3 linked regions of the Stegostoma tigrinum genome follow. The protein of the gene in region 3 binds, or shares a complex with, the protein of the main gene of each other region. Links are inferred from orthologs where the notes say so. Each region holds a gene or a part of one and is shown on either strand. Other genes may lie near its edges. The genes, in order: protein inscuteable homolog, frmpd4 and gpsm2.

What was found.
Region 1: the proteins of gpsm2 (region 3) and protein inscuteable homolog are in contact, whole or in part, in a crystal structure (PDB 3RO3), measured with the Mus musculus proteins. The link is inferred for Stegostoma tigrinum from reciprocal best matches to the Homo sapiens genes GPSM2 and INSC. Residues at the interface, in NP_083798.2 of Mus musculus: Asn210, Tyr213, Leu214, Phe218, Arg242, Ser246, Asn247, Asn250, Ile253, Phe254, Tyr265, Gln283, Tyr286, Ser287, Asn290, Thr291, Thr293, Leu294, Arg323, Trp326, Ser327, Asn330; in XP_006507722.1 of Mus musculus: Val72, Asp73, Ser74, Val75, Arg77, Trp78, Met79, Asp81, Leu82, Lys83, Leu84, Met85, Thr86, Glu87.
Region 2: the proteins of gpsm2 (region 3) and frmpd4 are in contact, whole or in part, in a crystal structure (PDB 4WND), measured with the Homo sapiens proteins. The link is inferred for Stegostoma tigrinum from reciprocal best matches to the Homo sapiens genes GPSM2 and FRMPD4. Residues at the interface, in NP_001307967.1 of Homo sapiens: Leu25, Ala28, Leu29, Glu32, Asp57, Lys59, Thr60, Ser62, Ala63, Ile64, Ser66, Gln67, Asn70, Phe73, Tyr74, His85, Asp88, Ala92, Gly100, Lys103, Asn107, Asn110, Thr111, Lys113, His128, Arg143, Tyr146, Asn147, Asn150, His153; in NP_055543.2 of Homo sapiens: Gln988, Leu989, Leu990, His991, Ser992, His994, Met995, Glu996, Met997, Glu998, Pro999, Glu1000, Thr1001, Met1002, Glu1003, Thr1004, Lys1005, Ser1006, Val1007, Thr1008, Asp1009, Tyr1010, Phe1011, Ser1012.

What each region holds. Positions count from the first base shown.
Region 1 is NC_081370.1:31,159,082-31,166,035, reverse strand, and holds the start of protein inscuteable homolog, read right to left. Parts: upstream 3,065-6,954; 5' UTR 3,017-3,064; intron 1-3,016. UniProt on the Homo sapiens protein: May function as an adapter linking the Par3 complex to the GPSM1/GPSM2 complex. Involved in spindle orientation during mitosis. May regulate cell proliferation and differentiation in the developing nervous system.
Region 2 is NC_081365.1:63,271,893-63,279,591, reverse strand, and holds the start of frmpd4 (FERM and PDZ domain-containing protein 4), read right to left. Parts: upstream 3,008-7,699; 5' UTR 2,502-3,007; coding exon 2,461-2,501; intron 1-2,460. UniProt on the Homo sapiens protein: Positive regulator of dendritic spine morphogenesis and density. Required for the maintenance of excitatory synaptic transmission. Binds phosphatidylinositol 4,5-bisphosphate.
Region 3 is NC_081361.1:39,760,252-39,768,285, forward strand, and holds the start of gpsm2 (G-protein-signaling modulator 2), read right to left. Parts: upstream 3,106-8,034; 5' UTR 3,001-3,105; intron 2,271-3,000; exon of another isoform or gene 1,964-2,270; intron 1-1,963. UniProt on the Homo sapiens protein: Plays an important role in mitotic spindle pole organization via its interaction with NUMA1. Required for cortical dynein-dynactin complex recruitment during metaphase. Plays a role in metaphase spindle orientation.

The sequences.
Region 1 (6,954 bases), on a different chromosome or scaffold from region 3:
GGGATCTTGAAGCTGGTGACATCAGTGTTAAGGCATTAGGGTGTAAGCTTCCAAGGTGAAATATCAGGTGTTGTTCCTTCAGTTTACATTTGGCCTCACTCTGACAGTAGAGGAAGCCAAGGATGGACATATCGCCAGGGGAGTGGGAGGGGGAATTAAAATGGATGGCAATCAGAAGATCGGGTTGGTTGGTGCTTGCAGATCACAGGTGCTCCGTGAACCAGTCCCCAAGTCTACATTTGGTCTCCCCAATATAGAGGAGACCACATCAGGAGCAACGTTTGCAAGATACCAGACCAAGGATTGCGTACAACAAAGAGAATAAGTAATTGACTTGAATGTGAAGCCTGGAGGGGGAGGGATGTTTCCACAATACAAGGTCAATATACAACATTGATTACCGCCACTCCAGGCCATAAATCACCTGATGTCAACTCCTCCCTCTCCAATACCTTGATAAAGGCAAAAATGTACAAGCTATTGGACTGCTAAAGATGAGGTTCCACCGCTGGGGCTGTTCAGGTGGAGTAGTTTAGCACCCACCTGAAAGATTGCGCAGGATTTTTGTGGTCTGCTGTAGCCGATGCAACTTCACTCAGCTAAGCGAGGAAGAATTTTCTGAGGTTAAAGGTGCCAGATACCTCCTCTGACAGGAAGAAGGTGAAGATGATGCTGCTGGGAGGGAATGGACATGGCAGGTATCACATTAATGGTGTTGTAGACAGACTAGTGATAACCTCGTCAGTACCAGCCTCCAGCTCAAGTGAGGCATCACACCACCACAATGGGTTATCATTCTCTGTTGGCTGGGAGCCTGACCTTCTCTTGTGGGCACATGCATTCTGGCTTCATTGTGTTATGCTTTTGCTTCGATGGGTATTTCACGTTATGTTTAAATTTACATTAATGCCATGACATTGCTAATACTGTGCTACTATGTACATGCCAATTTGAAATATTGCACATCTCACTTATGCTAAATCTGCTGCTCAGGCAACATTGTAGTGTCTACGCTAGCAGGACCAGGACATTACTTCTGCATAACACTACACATTCCCGCCAGCTTGGGTACCAGTAGGGGAAAACATTGTAGGCCCTTGACACATACAAGCCCAGACACTAACTCCATTGGATGATTCAGGCATTTGTAATTTGGCATTGATACAAAAACAAAAAGAATGAGTTAATTTCTATACACAGTTCCTTTTCTCGATAAGATTTCAGACATTAGGCAATGATACAGGCAGTTTCCAGGTTGTGAACAGGTTCCATCCTTGAGTCCATTCATCAATTTGTACACATGTCAGCACACAATGCAAATAATGTAACATAGCTGATTGTGAGTATGAGGAATTCTTCGTATGCCAGATCTTTAAAATTATTATTAGCACACCACTGCATGGGAACACATTTGTAAGTGTTAATGCGCATAGATTGAACATTCGTAAAGGATGTCCAGTTATTCGTGCTCCAATAGCGACTGGAGGCATCCTCACTGTGTTACTGTCAGATTCAGGTCTCTCTATTGCCACATGCACAGTCCTGTGCCCACCAGCGCATTCAATGGCCTCCTCTTCAAAGTGGGCTAGGATCCTTAAATCATTTGGCTCTCCTCCAGTCTTGTACTCCAGTTATGAACCCTTTTCTTCAGCAGACAGGCAATCCCAATATATTGGAAATATATTATCATTCCTTCACTGTCACTTGGTCAAAATTCTGGAACTCCCTTGCTAAGGACTTTGTGAGTCAACCCGTAGCACAGAGCTGCGGAGGTTCAGAAAACAGCTCAACACCACATTCTTAAGGGCAACTAAGAATAGGCAATAAATTCTTACCAGCCTGTAACACCCACACTCCACAAGTGAATAAAAAAAGCATTCATAAATACTTTATAGGTATGCATGTCTACGAGTTCTAGATCCCTCTCCAATTATTGTTTGATACCCACACTGCCATGTATTTTATACAAAATTCACAGCATGAACTGACTACCACACATTCAGCCTGCAAATTCCACCTAATGCCTATGCTTGAAACACAAATTCATGTCTGACAGCTCTCTGCACTCGCACATTACACAATTTGATTTTCTTTCAAGTGTCACTTTCCAATGATTACACATTATACATGTGTGTCAATTGCAGCAGATCATTCTTCCTTTTTCAGTTTGGGACCTTGGTACTTTTGTATGCCAAGCTGGTGCTGACAAGCACTGCTAACTCAGCCTGGGCCTGCGTCTGATGGGATGACCTCCTGCTGCTGTCCCTGGGAAACAGGACCTTGTGCCCTTCCTGGACAGCCTGGAGAAATTTGCAGGATGACATCGCTCCAATTAACAACCTCACCACTACCAGAAGATTCTCCCAATATTACAAGTTACCATATACAATGCAATGGAAATGTACGGATGCCCCCTCCTGCCCCCAGCCCACCAACTCTAAGGGGGAATTAATAACTGGAAATAACCAATGTTCTGTCACAAAACAAACACACTACAGAAAGTAAATAGTAGGAACTGCCGATGCTGGAGAATCTGAGATAACATGGTGTGAAGCTGGATGAACACAGCAGGCCAAGCAGCATCAGAGGAGCAGGAAAGTTTGACGTTTCAGGTCGAGACGCTTCTTCAGAAATGGGGGAGGGGAAGGGAATTCTGAAATAAATAGGTAGACAGGGGGAGGAGGATAGAAGATGGATAAAGGAGAAGATAGGGTGAGAGGCCTCGACCCGAAACATCAAACTTTTATGCTCCTCTGAAGCTGCTTGGCCTGCTGTGTTCATCCAGCTTCACACCGTGTTATCTCATACTACAGAAAGAATTTTGGATTACGAATGCTCTAAAATTATAACCAACTTTCTCAGGGAGGAAATTTTCTTTTGTCTATGGCATGCATGATGTATTAACTGATAGAATACAACATTGTATGCAAAGACACCAGTTGATTTGACATGACAATGCGAACATAACAGAAAAACCAACCGTGCAGTAAACAGTCCTCCCCAAAAACAAACTTACCCAGGAATAAATTAAAATTCAGAACTGAATCAGAGTTCTTTGCGGTTGTCTGTGCTCCCACACCTCCTCTGAAATACCCCTGCTGTTTGCTTTCCCAACGAAACAAAAGCCTGTGCAAACTAAGAAAGAAGACAAGTTTCATCTGGAAATAAAACTCGTTTCAGGCTTCTGAAGGGATGTGAGGACTTCAAATTTTCACCAACCACTACATCAATTTTATTTATTCTCTTCCCACTGAAGTGCCTCTGCACTCTAGCCGAGACTCAGATTTTTTGTTTTGGATAAGAGACCACATCATCCTGTCAGAGAAACAGTGCATAGCTTTAACTGGGCTTCAGTCCAAACAGACAGAGAACCATTCTATTTGTGTCTGCTGTTATAGCAGAAAAGTTCAAAAAGATTTTCCCATGAAATCCTAGATAGTTATAGGTGTTGGTTAACAGCGGGTGCATTCAGAAGATTAGATTATTTAATGAGTTTTACAACTTCAAAATAGAGAATTCAACTGCATTAATATGTCACGAGGTTATGTTTCCGCATAATTATGTTGAAAGAAACCTTTGTACAAAAAAAACGATATTCCAGGAAATACTTTGAAAAGGAATATGAAGATATGTTCAGTAATGTTTTACCACAAGAAACAAATCCAAACTGTACAAAGATGAATGATGGAAATAAAAGCAGAAATTGCTGGAGAAACTCAGCAGCTCTGTAAGCATTTGAGGACAGTAGAACAGTTGATGGTTTGAGTCCAATATGACTCTCCTTTTGATCTGGAGAAGTCATATCAGACTGAAAACATTAACTCTGGTTCTCTCTTCACAGATGTTACCAGACTTGCTGACTTTCTCCAGCACATTCTGACTTTATTTCAGATTTCTAACATCTGAGGTAATATGCTTTAATATTAGAAATCTCAATTAAAGAAACACAAAACCATATCCACAAACACACATTATTCTCTGAGACATTGCTTTCATCTTGATTTTTGTGCACAGAGGTTGAGCAGTTCGACTATTCCTGGAATGTTATTTTGAAGTCAGGTACTTACTCTTGAAGTTACAATGTTGTCAGTTGTGAATTGATGTCTGTTCAAGTTTTCCACAGAAATTTGTGAATGTTTTCCTGTCTCACAATTTCCAAAGTTAGATTAAACACTGCTCATGAAAACTTATTGATGTTTTTCCGAATACTTCAGAGAACTGGACGAAGGTCAATTATTTAATTTAGTGGTACCAGTGAAATTAAGCCCTACACTTACTTAATCGTGAAGGGTCATCAGCATTGCATTTTAGTCGGCACATCTCATTTGTCAGAACGGTGGCTCAGTGGTTAGCACTGCAGCCTCACAGCGTCAGGGACCAGGGTACGATTCCAGCCTTGTGTAACTGTCTGTGTGGAGTTTGCACATTCTCCCCGTGTCTGCGTGGGTTTCCTCCGGGTGCTCCAGTTTCCTCCCACAGTCCAAAGATGTGCAGGCTAGGTGGATAGGCCATGCTAAATTGCCCATAGCGTTCAGGGGTGTGTGGGTTCTCGGGGGATGAGGATGACCCTGCGTGGGATGCTCTAAGGGGCGGTGTGGACTTGTTGGGCCGAAGGGCCTGCTTCCACACTGTAGGGAATCTAATCTAATCTAATCTAAACGTATACTGGAAATTCAGATGCACAATCACCTGTTCACGGCAATGAAGAATGGACAAAACATTTTCCAGTGATGCTCATATTCCAAATACAATTTATAAAAAAAAGTTTGATTTTTTGACCTTTCAAATGGCCATTGAAATAACTCCACAGAGGGCAGTATCCTGTCAGCAAGTCACCCTTTATTTACAAGTGGAGAGCCATTCACACTGATCCAGCTTCCTCAGTGCCACTCTCAGTGTGAACAGGATATCTGATAGAAGATAAGATAACAAGGTGTAGAGCTGGATGAACACAGCAGGCCAACCACTGTCAGAGGAGCAGGAAAACTGACGTTTCGGGCCTAGACCCTTCTTCAGAAAATATCTGATAGTCCTGTTTATATCTTTCATCAGGGCTCTGTCATTGGACCAGATTAACAGCCTGAATCAGGGAACTCATATTCTATGAGTTCCACCTGGCTGGTCTTGTTACAATCACTACAACCCTCCCCTCCGCGCTAGAGGATGTACACAAGTGTTTTTATCTGTAGCTCCTCCTGAGGCATTTTAGCATTGGATCAGTGTCCTCCAACTCTGTCTCAGATATGTGTGGTGTATAATGCACAGAAGCTTGCCTCTTGTGCCCAGAGCGCCTTGAAAGGAAATCTTTCTCTTCTTCAGGCTGCAAAGTCATTGAGGCCGCAACATTCAACATGGCCATCTCAGATTCTGAGTATCTTCAACGCTTGATGGACAGGGAGAACCTATGGGTTTCAACAGCCTTTCCAACTGTTCCAAGGAGTCGGGCACCTTTTGCTCCTACACCGTTTGTGAGTTTGCAGCTTTCATTTGGTCCATGTGCTCGTTCAGAAACCCAAACTTTATATGTCACGAGATCTGAACTTGCATCGACCAAGCCTCTTACCCGTGCAGCACCATTCCGGTGATTCCTATATAAAACTCCATCCCTCGAAGTAAACTGTCTCTCGCACTTGACGGATTCTTGCCTCCAGCATTAGTATACAGTTTCATCTTACCCCCCCCCCCCCCGCCAAATTCCAGGAAGATCCAATTTAACCAGGTATGGAGCCTTCTCTGCTGGGAGCTATTCCTAAAGCTGAATGAGGGGTAATCCATAGTCAAATAGGGACTGGACAGTTTGGTATCCAGTGAAGCTGTAGGCTGCTTCCTTCGGCCTGCCTTCAAAATTTAGACTGCTCTTTCTGCCAGACTATTGGATGATCAATGGTATAAAGCTATCATTATATGTCAAATGCCATTCACCTTTAGGAAATATGAAGAGCGAAGATAAAAAAGAACAATACAGCACAGGAACAGGCCCTTCAGCCCTCCAAGCCTGCGTCAACACATATTGCCTTTCCATATTAAAACTGTCTTCACTTCCAGGATCTGTATCCCGCTCTTCCCTTCCTATTCGTGTATTCATTCAGGTGCTTCTTGACTGTGTCTGTTTCCACCACCCCTCTAGCAACACGTTCCAGGCACTCGTTACCCTTTGTGTTTAAAATGTGCCTCGCACATCTCTTTCAAACTTCCCCCCTGCACCTTGAGTCTGTGTCCCCTAGTAATTGACCTCTCCACCCTGGAAAAAAAGTTCATACTTTCCACTCTATCCATGCCATTCACAACCCTATGAATTTCCTCAGGTTGCCCCTCAGCCTCCTGCATTCCGCTGAAAACTAACCCAGTCCGTCCAATCTTTCTTCATAGCTAAAATCCCCCTTACCAGGCAACATCCTGGTAAGTCTTTTCTGTACCCTCTCCAAAGCATCTACATCCTTCTGGCAGTGTGGTGAGCTGAACTGTACACGATGTTCCAAGTATAGCCGAACTAAGGTTCTATAAAGCTGCAGCATAACTTGCCTGTCCTTGCCCCTTCCAATGAAGGCAAGCAAAGCATATACGTTTTTTAGTAACTTATCTACCTGTGCTGCTACTTCAGTGATCTGTGGAATTCAACACCTAGATCTCTCTGCATATCAATATTCCTAAGGCTTCTGCCATTCACTGTATAATTTCCACCTGTGTGTGACTTTCCAAAATGCACCACCTCACATTTGTTCGGATTAAACTCCATCTGCCATTTTACTGCCTGTGCCTCCAATTGACTTTTATCCTGCTATTCTTCTGACAACCCTCCTCACTATCCATAATTCCATGAATCTTTGTATTGTGTGAAAATTTACTAATTTGACCAGTTACATTTGCCTCCAAATCATTTGTGTAGATCACGAAAAACAGAGGTCCCAGTACTAATCCCTGTGGAACACCACAAGCCATAACCCTCTATTCCAA
Region 2 (7,699 bases), on a different chromosome or scaffold from region 3:
TATAGGAACAGAACCACCCTCCTTGCACTCATGCAGCATCACCTGAACATGAGCAATCATAAAAACTGGGAAAAGAGTTGGACTGTATTATGAAATGGCTGCAGTCTCGAGATTGCACGTTGGATTTCCAGAGCCTTCACGTTTTTCATCTCTTCCCTTTCAAGATCTGTGGACAGATTGAAATGCTTTCCTAAAGCCAGAGGTGTTGTCATTTCCCAATCCAAGGTTTCTTATTGACCACCACATGCTTTACGTTTCACTCGTATGACATTTGCTATTTCTGCCACAGGTGTGTTGTTTGCATATGTCCCAGTGCACTAAAATGACATACAATTGTGAAGATCACCACTGAAAAATAGTGCCCGTAACTGTCTTTGGGTAAAGCTATTTGGTATAAATTGCAACCAATTTGGAAAATTGATACTGCCATTTCCTTTGCAATTCTTCTGTGAATTCTATTAATTTGAAGGATTATTTTCTTAATGCAGAACTGTACAGCAGAACGCAGATTTTCTAAAACATACAAAGTTATTAAATTTTTCAGGTATTGATTTTTGACAAACTTAGTGTCGTAACGGTTTCTCAGTCAATACGAATGCCTCAGCTCTGAAAGCATGGAGCGCATAGCGACTGTTATTAGACCTCAAAACTGAATAACACCACCCAATCAAGTTTATGGTGTATAATCATTTACAACTGATTCTATCAGTAAGCAGTTTCAAGGTGACAGCAAGAACTTAAGACTTCACTATATTCTCAGTTAGATAACAAAAGAGCAAATTTTGAAAGCACATGGGAAATTAATCAGCATTGAAGGAAGACTGATTAACTTTCATGTCATGTTGAAAGGCCTTATCAGAAACACAAACCTATCTTGTCTCATGTAGATTCTAAGCCAACAATCTGTTATTTTGCAACATTTATTGCTTTCCTTAATCACATATTTCAAATCTTCAGGATTTGTGAGGGCTTTTTTAAAATCTCGATGTAAATGTATTTCCTTCCTTCCAGGAATCCATCGAGGTTTCTTTGTACAAACAAGCAAATATTTTTCTATTCTTTCATGTATTGCAATACAAAACAATATTTTGGTCATGAACCATATGTTCTGCAGACTGGTGGACAGATCCCAATAGTAACAAATACTGATAATACCCAGGTCTTCATGTGCCCAGTGAGTAAACTGTACTTCACATTTGTTTAATTCTACTTCAGGAACTTAAGTGTTGGAAAGTTGCAGACAGAGATTTTCCATAGAATTGCATATGTTCAGTGCTCAGAGAATTCCAAAGCAGATTCAAATGATTCACAATAACTGAAAACTTGATTAGTCGATTTATTTTTCATATCCTTCCTGCCTAAGAAATACCATGCAACGTGTATTTTTCATTGTTATTTTAAAATATCCATAAGTTGTGAATTTGCCGTTTTACGAAGTCACTTAATATAATTTGAGAGACAAAGTTGATCCCTACAGTGAAACCCATTACATCGAAATGCAGGGGAAAAGCTGGCGTTGGAAGGTATCTTCTCATTTGCGTGATCAAACCTGAAGAATTTCTGACAGATTATAATTAACAGTAAACTAAAGATCATCCAGCAAAGGCGCGTGCAGTGACATTTCTTTAAAACGAGTGCCTGTTTGTAGGGTGTACACCAGCGGAGAGAATGTTTGTATGTTGTTGAGAGAGGAGGGGTAATGAGAATTATCCACAGACACACAGTGCCATTGCTTAATGCGAGCCCAAACTCCCTCGCACCCAACAATTAAAGTGTCAGGAATATCTGCTGGTTTACATCAAAATAAATGCCAGACTCAGAAACATCAGCCGAATTAAAACTGACATTTGCTCATGTACCCATCAGACACAAATACGACCATCTGAGCATTATTCAACACCGGAGCATATCAAACAAGTAGCTTTGGCGACGCTAAAAATGAATTCAACTTTTTTTCGACCAGGGCATCAGCGATAAAGGACAGTTGATTTATCGTTCTGTTCCCCCCCCCCCCCCACCCCCCACGTAATATTCAGCACACTGGAAAAAAAAGATTCAATATTCTCCCACAGTTGGGAAGACATCGAAGTGTTACTGTTAATAAGCCATCAAACACCGGCTTCAAGACTTCTAAAGATCGAAATTGGCCACTAGTAAAATGTAATGAAATCATTCTCCAATTTTCCACCAAGCTATAATTCTTTTCCCACTTACACACCCTTTTCACTGCATCTCTATTATCCCCGAAGCTCGACAACCTATCTGCCTGTAACCATTACACTAAGACAGCGTTAGTCATAGGGAGTAAAAATGCTGCTGCTCCTAAAAATGATGCATCGTGTCTTCACGGCTGTCCCTGTTGTGGCTGTACATCCAATCGAGCGGATTCCACGGGACGGGGAGCTTGCAGTCGCTAATGAGCAGTGGACAATATTCAGAGGATGTATGAGGCACGCTTACCTTGACAGCTTTGCGATCTTCACAAAGCTAAACACATCCATGCATGCAGAAAGCTCTTGTGTCCTCACTCCAGCTCCATAATGTATCCTTATTCAAATCGACTGGGGCTACATGGAGAGGAACGGCTTCCCTTTCCTCCTGCTCCGAGATTCACGGGTCCATCCACTCCGGCTTGAGGTAACATTGGCTCTCCCTGAGAGATCCGGCGTTCAGTGCTCACATTCCCCCGCCACCAATTGGCATGCTCCCACTGACCCCTCTTAGCCCCTCAGTCAAATGGCAAGCCACTGGGAGTGGGAGTCTCCGAGGCAGGCAGCAACTCCGAGGATGCACGCAAAATCACTCCTGCTGCTTGCTTGTCTCCTCTCGGGTTTGCTCCAATCACAGCCAACACTTGATGACAAATTAAAGCAAAATCTTTTTTTTGGAGGGGGAAGGGGTGTAGGGGGAGGCAAACGCCGCAGAAGAAGCAAAATAAAACCTAGTGCTCGAAAGGAAAACAGCTCGCTTTAGACAGGTGCGCTATCATTCTGACTCCGACCTGTACAGGCTCTCGCCTGTTAAAATGCACGGGAACATGATGCTCGCTTAAGTTCTTCCCTCACTTCAGCGACTGTTTCCCGTCTGCAAAACTACATATTTCCCACTACACTTAACCCTCGAGAGTTGTTGTGGAAACTGCATATGAATAGATCCTGCTGCTTGGTGAGCACAAGTCAGAATATTTCTCTGCGAGTACACAATGGCAATTTGACCTTTACAATTTAATTGACAGATTCATGAGTTCCGAGAAAAATAACGAAACATTGCAACAAAAGGATAGTTAAAGAAAACACGGTGATAAAGATTTAATTAAACATCAATCTTGCCTAGACAGAAACCTAGTTATCTTTCTATAAAACTAATTCTCAAGGTAACTTCATACAAAAGGGTACACAGTGCACCGGAAGGTTCAAATCTTTATTTACGTTAAACAGAAGCAGCTTACAATTGTTTTATATTAAACATTGCTAAATTCAAATCCTTTCTTCATTTTAAAAACTTGGTTGAAATGACCAGTCACTGTCAAAAGTTTTGTTTTCTTCATTACCCGGGCTGACACCTGTTCTAAGTTTCTAAAAGTTGTTATCTCACAAACAGAGGATTTAAGATACCTCAGAATTCTCAAAGACTGGCATACCATCTCAATGTATATTAAATATGTTGCTGCAATTAAAGGATGCCAAATGTCTGCAAGATCGTAAGTGTGTGATGAACAAAGAAAAGGAGCCAATATGAGCCCCTCCAGCTAACTTCTATCCAATAAGATCATGGCTGATCCATGTTTTTTTTTCAAATTTTACATTCCCTGATAAATTTTGATTCCCTTGACTAACAAGAATCTGTCTACCTCCACCTTGATTTTATTCAACAAGCCCACCTCCATTCTCCTCAGATGCCAAGAATTCCAAAGCCACACAACCCTGAGAGAAAAGGAATCTCTCCGCAGCCTTATCCAAAAAGGGTGCCCCCAATTTTAAAACTGCCTCACAAAAGGTCACATTCTTTCCATTGGCCACTTGTCTACACCATTCGGGATTCTATACACTTCATTCATATCACCCCTCACTCTTTCAAACTCCAATAGAAACAAGTCCAGTCACTGCCCAACCTATTCTCAATCCACTCATTCCATCATTCAAGCTAATAATTTTTCCCTGAACTGCCTCCAATGCAGTTGCTTCCCTGCCTAATTAAGGTTAGCAATACTGCACGTCACCAATACCCTGTGCAACTAAAGCACAACATCCTCACTATTACGTTCAATTCCTCTCATAACAAAGGATAGCATCAGCCTTCTTGACTGCATGCTGTTCCCACATACCATTGACTCATACACAAGAACACCCAAGTTCCTCTGAGCCTTGGAATTCTGCAATCATTCTCCATTTAATTGTTTATATTTTAACTGTTCTTGCCAAAATGAACTTAATATTTGCCCTCATTATACTGCATCACCAGATTTTTGTACACTTACTCATCCTACCTATATCCAACCACAACCTCACGTCTTCTTCACAACATACTTCCCAACTATCATATGGTGATCTTTGTATTTAGCTACTATGCCATTGCTCCCATCATTGATACAGGTTTTAAAAAGTTGAGGGCCCAGCACAAACACTTGTGGGACTATACTGATCATATTCTACTGATGGGTCAAAGGTCCATTTATATAAACTCTCTGGTTTAATAAGGCCATTAGATGCAGAAGCAGGCAATAGACCCATTGAGTCTGTTTCATTATTCAGTGAGATTATGGCTGACCCGACCATTTTCAGCCAGGATCGCAGCCAATTCTGCAAGCGTCTGATCTTCTACAAAGCTACTATATTAATTCCTATGAGCATTTATATTCCACAAGTACAATATTCCTCCAATCACAGGAACACCACTTGGGATTACATATCATTCTCCAGTTAGACGAAGTTTGGGATAGAAATGGAGTTGCAGTTCTCCGAGAAAATACATTACAGAGACCAGAATTAACCCACATGGGAAAGCTAGGTTCCTTTCCCTCCACTGTACAACTCCCTGTATAGTCAGAAACTCAACCTTTTATTTTTGCTCCTGAAATGAATCAGTCAGTGACCAATTAATGTCAATGCACATTCCTCCAGGATTGGAGGCCAGACTGTCAAAACTGGAAAAATTAATGGGAGTAATTTTCAGTGAACATGCCTGGCTTCCTGATTTTTCATTGACCTTCCTATGTTAGTCCTTATTGTGTGGGTTACATTAAGAATTCATCAATTAGCCGCTGCACTACTGATGCAGGACCTCTGCCAGGATTTTTTTACATGTGTAAACAACCGTGCCTGCCACTGAACATGTCTGTGCTTTAACCTGAGATTGCTGCCAATTTACAACAGATAGAATTACTCTGGATCATTAACTATGGCCAGTTATTTTTGGATCAACTGATGTTTGGGCAACCACATATTAAAACTCACCTGGAAGTCTGCTTCCAGTTTCTCTCAAGTTGTGTGGTGAATACACACACTTTGTAATTTTATTGGGACCAATTTGATACATTAGTCCATTCATCATGAATCATCCACATTGCTCTTCTGGCTGAAGGTAGATGCAAAGTTCTTCAGCCTTGTTCCACAGTTGAGGAGTAGAGCCTTATCCTCTGTTACTTAGAAAATTGCCCATCCCTGTTCACACCTAGTTGTGGGAGAACTGCAAATTTTAAATCTGACCATTTGGATGACTTACGTCTGCTTCTGTTCATTGGCAAATAAGTAATTCTGTTTCAGATTCCCACCAGGTTTATACTTTGTTTTCAGGTATGCCTGGTGCTATTTCTGACAAGGCCTCAATCAGTCTTTTTTGAACCAGAGTTAATCCTCAATTTGATGGTAACAGTAGATTAAGGAATATGCTGGGCCATGGAATTGTGATTGAACTCTGCTGATGGCTCATCACGTTTCACAGATGTACTGCTTTGAACTGTCAAGATCTGTTGAAAGTCTGTCCCAGTTAGCATGGCACAACACAATGAAGAGTATCCAAAATGTGAAGATGGGCTTTATGCCCAGACAGATTGCATGATGGGCGTCATACCAATTCTATCAATGGCCCATGCATCTGAAACAGTTTTAGCCATGTTAATGAGGCCAGGTAGGATTTTTCTTTCTCCTTGTTAATTCACCTACCACTTGCTGTAAATGCAGTCTAGCTTCTATGACCTTCAGAACTCAAAGCCTAGTCAATAGTGGAGCCACTAAGTTAAGGATCAGACCAAAACCTCCTTCTAACTATTCAGAAGGTAGTTAAGACCCTAGCTTTTTCTTATTTTAAAGGTAAATGTAAGGTGTTCATTCCAGATGCAATTTGATTGGTTAAACCACCAGATTTAAAATAGAACACCCTTTATTCATGCACTATAGTAAAAATACACGAGAGAGGACGAATTGGATCAACAACTCTCCTAGAAAATTTAACAGAACAGTAGATACAGTAACTATTAATAATTACCTGTTCCATTATAGTAATACCCCATAAACACACCCTTAACAAAATGCAAATTCAGAAGACAGATTGTCTCACATTCAATCCTATCAGCAAGAAAGAGCTACATGCAGCAGCGCCCCAGAGAGAGACGTCTTTTCCTTCCACAATTTCAGTTCACACCTACTAAATAAAGCAAAACCTGCAAAATCCTGGGCATGTATGTCTCGACGGCGTGTACTTCTATTGTTCCAACTTTTGGAGAACACCCAACGCTTCACAAATTGTTTAACGCCACTGACTGCTTAACACCTATTCCTGCAACTTCTGTCTAAAAGAAACCAGGACAAAACACACCTCTTAAAGCCACAAGCAGAGTACATTCTGGAGCATGCCCAGTCTCAGTGCTTCTTTCCAAATTGTATTCAACATGAAAAAGTACTGGTTCACCAGCTGACAGGGGTTAGTCAGTGGTTATCAGCAGGATGTTACCTTGCCCATATTTGACTTGATGCTGTGAGATTCATGGTGTTTGGCTACTTGCTGACACTAGTTCAGAACATACACAGATTTGGCTGTGGTTGAGTCTGGGGCTTGGTATTTCAACGATTGTCAGTGATTCAATGCACATCTCAGATTGTTGCTTTAAGTCAATTGTGGTAATGCTCTGTTGAACTTGGCACAAGCCTGAGGTGGATTTGTTACTCTCATTTACAATGCCTTTGTCAATGTTTGGTGGTCTCACTTTGTTTTATTCATTTTGACTTTGTGGTGATACATTACAACTGAGCGAGTTACTAGGCCATTTCAGAGGGCTTTTGGGAATCTGAAAAACTGCTGGGAATCTGGAGACACATGCAGCCAGATTGGACAAGAACAGCTGATTTCCTTCTAATGGCAGTCATTGAAAACTCATCTGGCCACTAATCACAATCACCAATGGCTTCATGATCATTGTTATTGAGGCCCACACACGTAGAGCGACATTGGTGCCAAATGCAGAGGCTTGGTGCTCTTGGTCACCTATTGTATTTGTGATCAAGGAGTGGGATGGATGTACTCAGGTGGAAGTGGCTCTACTGTGCCCAGGTCATGGGCAGATTGGATGTGCCCGATTTCAAAGTGTGCCAACAGAAGCATCATGATCTGTGATTTCTGTCCCTTGCCCTGATGAGGACTAATTTTTCTTTTTGGAAATTCCAGCTTTATTAATTTAGTTAAATTCCACCAGCTGCCAAAGTGG
Region 3 (8,034 bases):
GAGGGGGAAAAAAATGAATTAGTTAATGGTTTAGGTCCAGTAGCCCTTCTTCAGAATGGATGGATTGGATTTCAGTAGTCATAGCTAATCTTAACTCCTACTGTCTATTTTGCTATTTCCCCCCCCCGGCCCAACATCCTCTGATCTTAGGCGGGTATAATAAGACAACTGTTTTTGCATATTTGAAGACTGTTGAATAACTCAAACAAGTGCTTGAAAGATTAGTCATTAGTTAATAGGTTACTTGTCCAATCTTATTCTAACATTGAGTCAAATCAAGCTTTCCCTCTGTTTAATAATCGGGAATTAATGACTGAATTTGAGACTTCAGTTTGTCAGTAAAAGTTACCTCTTTTTGATTAGTTATATGCATGTAGTACTGGTGGCTGCCATGTGTTGTCCTTTGGCATATTTTAATTATTGTACACTGTAGATCATGTTGCTGAATAATGTTTAATTGTGTAGCATGATAAATTTCAATTTTAATTCAGACTAGCCAGCAAATGCTAATCTTTAAAAGCAAAACCTGCAAATAGTTATGTGAATGCAAGATGTTTTACCAGAAAGACGGCAAAACAGTTCTGCAGTGTATTATTCCGCTTTAAACTTTCCACATGGTTATATTTGCTGAAAGAAACTACACTATAAAACAGAGATAATAGGAACCGCAGATGCTGGAGAATCCAAGATAACAGTGTGGAACTGGATGAAAAGCTTTTCTGATGAAGGGTCTAGGCCCAAAACATCAGTTTTTGTGCTCTTAAGATCCTGCTTGGCCTGCTGTGTTCATCCAGCTCCACACTTTATTACACTATAAAGCAGTTTGTATCCATGATACCTAATCCTGGATTTAAAATGAAAACAGCTTTGATGAAAACAAAGTACAGCAAAACAGTAAAATCATGGGTTCTAAGTCATAAAAGCCAAGATGCATCACGATAGCATTTACACAGATCTCATTCCTTACAGTGAATAAAGATGATCTATCCCTCATATGCAAATTCAAAAAGAATACAAGGATTCCAATTTACATTTAAATTGCATTTCCACAAAAAGGCTCCTGAGATGCTGCTTGGCCTGCTGTGTTCATCCAGCCTCACATTTGATTATCTTAAAAAAAATCACAATTGATAACAATTTACTGTTGTACTTGGAACAACTGGATTGTTCAGGCTTTGGTGAGGTATTTGATGGGGAGATACAAGGAAATCAGGCAAAGAGGTGCAACAATCCTTAATAGACGGCCTAATTGTCCATATATTCGCAATTTCTGTCCATTTAAATGCGGGGTTCGGGAGGGAAATCGTTCTTACCAGATGTGCAAACTGTCACACTTCAATTTCCTGAACATAATGTGCCCTCTGTTGCCTAAGCTGAAAGAAAATGATACTTTCTATCCATCTGCTTATTTTCCCATTAATAAAAAGCTTAAAGACTGACTGACGTCCAAAAATTTCTTTTCAGTTATTAATTGCTTACCCATGTTCAAATTCTTACAAAATTGTCGCCAACCCCAAATCGACAAGTACTTGGAACTACTAGATATTCCTTCGGATTATAACATGCTTAATTTTGCCAAGGTACTGGCATTGTCGCTAGTTGTGGCTATCCTATCAATTTATGACAGGCATCTGATTTCTTTCATTTTAAAGACACAGGACAAGTTCCAATTTGTCTCCACAATCCTATCGGTTGGTCGTCCTATAGTTCCAGTTCACTAATGAATACCCAATACAAAATTGGGCCACGAAGGAGCAATCCGATTAAAGATTACACCCAAGACGTTTCAAGTGCCGTTGATCTAGATAATTTAATGGAGAGCGACGTAGGCAACAGTCCAGGGTGAAGTCTTAACTAGCATTTAGGGTACCTTTTATTTGTCACTTTTTGAGCAGACAGGGGCATTTCAAACCAACCAAGAGAGCCAAACAAGAAGAAAGAGCGTCTCATTCTTGATACTGACCTGTATGACAAATCTTGTCTCCTGGAGATGGCAGGACACTGGAGTGTTTCGATCAAACTCAGTCAACAAGTTATGTTAAAGACAGATCGCATTCAAGCGCAGCGAGACTCGCTTTGTCTTAATAAATAAAGAAGGCGCTGTGCTTCCAAAGTGGCTAACCTGGAAATCCAATCCTTTCTAAACTCAGTCTCCAAGATGCAGCAGCGTGCCTCTTTCCCCCGAATTTTAATCCTCCCAGTACTGCTCACTGCCAGTCGAATTTCCACCAGTTTCGACAGTTACGCAGCACCTTCCACGAGCTGCCTCAGCATCGGCAGCCGTTACATAAATTAAGCAAATAAGCAAACCCTGCGCTTCTAATGGCTGAAATTTGAATCAGCGTTCGGGCAAGGGGGCGGGGACACGTCGCGGTTGTTATGGTGACGAAAGAACTGCTCCCCGCCCCATTCCCGGCGGCAGGATTTGGGAACACCTATACCACGAAGAACCTCACAGCTGGACATCTTTCGACCCACCCTTCCAGCGCTGACACAGTGAAGTAACGATTTAAATCACACACAGTTCCTTGTTCTTTTCATTCATGCGATTTGTACAACATTGCCTAAACTAGCGCAATCACAAAATAAAAATGTGTTTGCTTGCTTTTTTTTAACTAGGGGCATGCCGCTCAGCGTTAGCACCAGGGACCTGGGTTCGATTCCACCCTGGGGTGACTGTGTGACGCTTTGCACATTCTCCCCGTGTCTGCACGGGTGGGTGTGGGTAGTATGCTCTTCAGACGGTCAGTGTAGACTCAACGGGCCGAATAGCCCATTTTCACACTGTTGGGATTGTGTGTTTCTAGCATACATTGCCCATCCCTAATTGTCCAGACGGCTAACAAACCATATTGCTGTGACTCTACAGTCACGTGTAAAATAAACAAGGTAAGGATGGCGGATCCTAAAAGAACATTGGCAACCCAAATAGATATTTTTACACTTTGGCTGATCATTAGGCTATAATTTTAGATATTTACTGAGTTAAAATTTCACTACCTGTCATGAGGCACTTGAACCCACGTCTTCAGAACATTCAGAGATAGTAGGAACTGCCGATGCTGGAGAATCTGAGATAACAAGGTGTAAAGCGGGATGAGGACAGCAGGCCGAGCAGGAAAGCTGATGTTTCAGGTCTGGACCTTCTTCAGAAATAGGAAGGGGGAGGGGCTCTGAAATAAATAGGGAGATAGGGGAACGCGGATGAAAGGTGCAGATAGGTGGAGAGGAGACGGACAGGTCAAGGAGGCGGGGATGTGGCTGGTGGGTGAGGGTGGGGATTGGGGTGAGAGGAGAGGATAGGTGGGAGAAAAGACAGACGAGCTGGGCTAGTTTTGGGATGAGGTTGGGGGGGGGGTTAGATTTTGAAGCTTGTGAAGTCCACATTGAGACCATTGGACTGCAGGGTTCCCAAGCGAAATATGAGGTGTTGTTCCTGCAAACTTCAGGTGGCATTGTTGTAGCACTGGAGGAGGCCCAGGATGGACATGTTGTCCAAGGAGTGGGAGACAGATTTGAAGTGGTTTGCAAGTGGGAGGTGCAGTCGTTTGTCGCGAACCAAGCATACGTGTTCCAGAAAGCGGTCTCCAAGCCTCTGCTTGGTTTCCCCAATGTAGAGGAGGCTACATTGGGAACCGCACATATAATAGATGTACAGCAGATGTGCAGGTGAACATCTGTTTAATGTGGAAGGTTTTCTTGAGACCTGGGATGGGGATGAGAGGGGAGGTGTAGTACTTCCTGCGGTTGCAGGGATGGTGGGAATGGTGCCGGGGTTATGGGGCCAGTGGGGAGTGTGGAGTGGACAAGGGAGTCACGGAGAAAGCGGCCCCTCTGGAAGGCAGATAAGGGTAGGGAGGGAGAAATGTCCTTGGTAGTGGGGTCAGATTGCAGGTGGCAGAAGTGGCAGAGGATGATGCATTGAATCCAGAGGTTGGTGGGGTGGTATGTCAGGATGAGGGGGATTCTGTTTTTGTTGTTACTGCATGGAGGGGGTGTGAGGAATGCATTGCAGGAAATGTGAAAGATGTGGTCGAGGGCGTTTTCGACCACTGTGGAGGGGAAGTTGTGGTCCTTGAAAAATGAGGACATCTGGGATATCCGGGAGTGGAATGCCTCATCTCGGGATAGGGCGGAGACAAAGGAATTGGGAATAGGGATTGACATTGTTTCAGGAAGGCGAGGGAGAGGTATTCTAGGTAGCTGTGGGAATCGGTAGGCTTTAAATAGATATCGGTTTCCAAGTGGTTTCCAGAGATGAAAACAGAGGGGTCCAGGAAGGAGAGAGATATCGGAGATGGTCTAGGTGAACTTAAGGTTGGGGTTGGAGGTATTAGTAAAGTGGATGAACTGTTTGAGCTCCTCATGGGAGCATGAGGCGGCGCTAATACAGTCAGCGATAAAATGGAGGAAGAGGTGGGGTATGGGGCCAGTGCAACTCTGGAAGACAGACTTCCATGTATTCCTCAAAGAGGCAGGCATAACTTCGGCCCATGTGGGTACCCATGGCCACCTGTTTGTCTGTAGGAAGTGGGCGGAGTTGAAGAAGTGGTTGTTAAGGGTGAGGACGAGTTCCGCTAAGCAGATAAGGGTATCATTGGAGAGGCACTGGTTGGGCCTGAGGGACAGGAAGAAGTGGAGGGCCTTTAGGCCATCTGCATGGGGAATGCAAGAATATAGAGACTGGAGGTACATGGCAAAGATGAGGTGTTGGGGACCAGGGAATTGCAAGTTTTGGAGGAGGTGAAGGGCGAGGGTGGTGTTACTGACATAGGTGGGGAGTTCCTGGACCAGGGGGGAGAAAATGGAGGCGAGATAAGTGGAGATAAGTTTGGTGGGACAGGAGCAGGCAGAGACGATGGGTCAACCAGGGCAGTCAGGTTTATGGATTTTGGGAAGGAGATAGAAACAGGCGGTGTGGGGCTGGGGAACAATGAGGTTGGATGCTGTGGGTGGGAGGTCACTTGAGGTGATGAGGTTGTGGATGGTCTGGAGATGATGTTTTGGTGGTATAGGGTGGGGTCATGATCAAGGGGGCGGTAGAAGGAGGTGTCAGAGAGCAGGTGCCTGGCCTCGGCGATGTAGAGGTCAGTGCGCCATACTACAACTGCACCACCCTTATTCGCGGGTTTTATGGTGAGGTTGGAATTGGAGCGGAGGGCTGCACATTCTGTGGGGGAGAGGTTGGAGTGGGTGAGAGGGGTGGAGAAGTTGAGGTGATTGATGTCTTGATGGCAGTTGGAAATGAAGAAGTCGAGGGATGGTCGGAGGCCTTGGGGTGGTGTCCAAGAGGAAGGGATGTGTTGGAGGCGGGAGAAGGGCTCAGTAGAGGGACTGTTAGGCTCACGACTAAAGAAGCAAGTGCAGTGGCAGCAGAAAACCTGTTCAACTTCCAAGCGTGAGCAATATTCTTTGATGTTAGGGTGGAGGGGAATAAAGGTGAGTCCTTTAGGGAGGACTGACCATTCATCCTTGGTGATGGGAAGGTCTGTGGGGGGGGGATGGTGAAGACCCAACAGGGCTGGGTGCTAGTGTATACTCTGGAGCTGCTGGCTGTGGAGGCGGTGGGTGGAGCAACGTCGGTGTCAGCGGTGGGCAGAGCAGCATCAGAACATCATTCACCTGGTTTCCTTAGGTTACTAATCTAGTGACATGGGCACTATTCCAAGACCTGCCTTAATCATTTACTCTCAGAGATAATGGGAACTGCAGATGCTGGAGAATTCCAAGATAATAAAATGTGAGGCTGGATGAACACAGCAGGCCAAGCAGCATCTCAGGAGCACAAAAGCTGACGTTTCGGGCCTAGACCCTTCATCAGAGAGGGGGATGGGGAGAGGGAACTGGAATAAATAGGGAGAGAGGGGGAGGCGGACCGAAGATGGAGAGTAAAGAAGATAGGTGGAGAGAGTGTAGGTGGGGAGGTAGGGAGGGGATAGGGGAGGTAGGGAGGGGATAGGTCAGTCCAGGGAAGACGGACAGGTCAAGGAGGTGGGATGAGGTTAGTAGGTAGCTGGGGGTGCGGCTTGGGGTGGGAGGAAGGGATGGGTGAGAGGAAGAACCGGTTAGGGAGGCAGAGACAGGTTGGACTGGTTTTGGGATGCAGTGGGTGGGTGGGGGGGAAGAACTGGGCTGGTTTAGGGATGCAGTAGGGGAAGGGGAGATTTTGAAACTGGTGAAGTCCACATTGATACCATATGGCTGCAGGGTTCCCAGGCGGAATATGAGTTGCTGTTCCTGCAACCTTCGGGTGGCATCATTGTGGCACTGCAGGAGGCCCATGATGGACATGTCATCTAGAGAATGGGAGGGGGAGTGGAAATGGTTTGCGACTGGGAGGTGCAGTTGTTTGTTGCGAACTGAGCGGAGGTGTTCTGCAAAGCGGTCCCCAAGCCTCCGCTTGGTTTCCCCAATGTAGAGGAAGCCGCACCGGGTACAGTGGATGCAGTATACCACATTGGCAGATGTGCAGGTGAACCTCTGCTGAATGTGGAATGTCATCTTGGGGCCTGGGATGGGGGTGAGGGAGGAGGTGTGGGGACAAGTGTAGCATTTCCTGCGGTTGCAGGGGAAGGTGCCGGGTATGGTGGGGTTGGAGGGCAGTGTGGAGCGAACAAGGGAGTCACGGAGAGAGTGGTCTCTCCGGAAAGCTGACAGGGGAGGGGATGGAAAAATGTCTTGGGTGGTGGGGTCGGATTGTAAATGGCGGAAGTGTCGGAGGATAATGCGTTGTATCCGGAGGTTGGTAGGGTGGTGTGTGAGAACGAGGGGGATCCTCTTGGGGCGGTTGTGGCGGGGGCGGGGTGTGAGGGATGTGTTGCGGGAAATACGGGAGACGCGGTCAAGGGCGTTCTCGATCACTGTGGGGGGAAAGTTGCGGTCCTTGAAGAACTTGGACATCTGGGATGTGCGGGAGTGGAATGTCTTATCGTGGGAGCAGATGCGGCGGAGGCGGAAGAATTGGGAATAGGGGATGGAATTTTTGCAGGAGGGTGGGTGGGAGGAGGTGTATTCTAGGTAGCTGTGGGAGTCGGTGGGCTTGAAATGGACATCAGTTACAAGCTGGTTGCCTGAGATGGAGACTGAGAGGTCCAGGAAGGTGAGGGATGTGCTGGAGATGGCCCAGGTGAACTGAAGGTTGGGGTGGAAGGTGTTGGTGAAGTGGATGAACTGTTCGAGCTCCTCTGGGGAGCAAGAGGCGGCGCCGATACAGTCATCAATGTACCGGAGGAAGAGGTGGGGTTTGGGGCCCCTGTAGGTGCAGAAGAGGGACTGTTCCACGTAACCTACAAAGAGGCAGGCATAGCTGGGGCCCATGCGGGTGCCCATGGCCACCCCCTTAGTCTGTAGGAAGTGGGAGGAGTCAAAAGAGAAGTTGTTGAGTGTGAGGACGAGTTCAGCTAGGCGGATGAGAGTGTCGGTGGAGGGGGACTGGTCGGGCCTGCGGGACAGGAAGAAGCGGAGGGCCTTGAGGCCATCTCCATGCGGAATGCAGGTGTACAGGGACTGGACGTCCATGGTGAATATGAGGTGTTGGGGGCCAGGGAATTGGAAGTCCTGGAGGAGGTGGAGGGCGTGGGTGGTGTCACGGACGTAGGTGGGGAGTTCCTGGACCAAAGGGGAGAAAATGGAGTCCAGATAGGTGGAGATGAGTTTGGTGGGGCAGGAGCAGGCTGAGACGATGGGTCGACCAGGGCAGGCAGGTTTGTGGATTTTGGGAAGGAGATAGAAACGGGCCGTGCGGGGTTGGGGAACAATGAGGTTGGAGGCTGTGGGTGGGAGGTCCCCTGTGGTGATGAAGTCGTGAATGGTGTTGGAGATGATGGTTTGGTGCTCGGGTGTGGGGTCATGATCGAGGAGGCGGTAGGAGGTGGTGTCGGAGAGTTGGCGTCTGGCCTCGGCGATGTAGAGGTCAGTGCGCCATACTACCACTGCGCCACCCTTGTCTGCGGGTTTGATGGTGAGGTTGGGGTTGGAGCGGAGGGAGCGGAGGGCTGCCCGTTCTGCGGGGGAGAGGTTGGAGTGGGTGAGAGG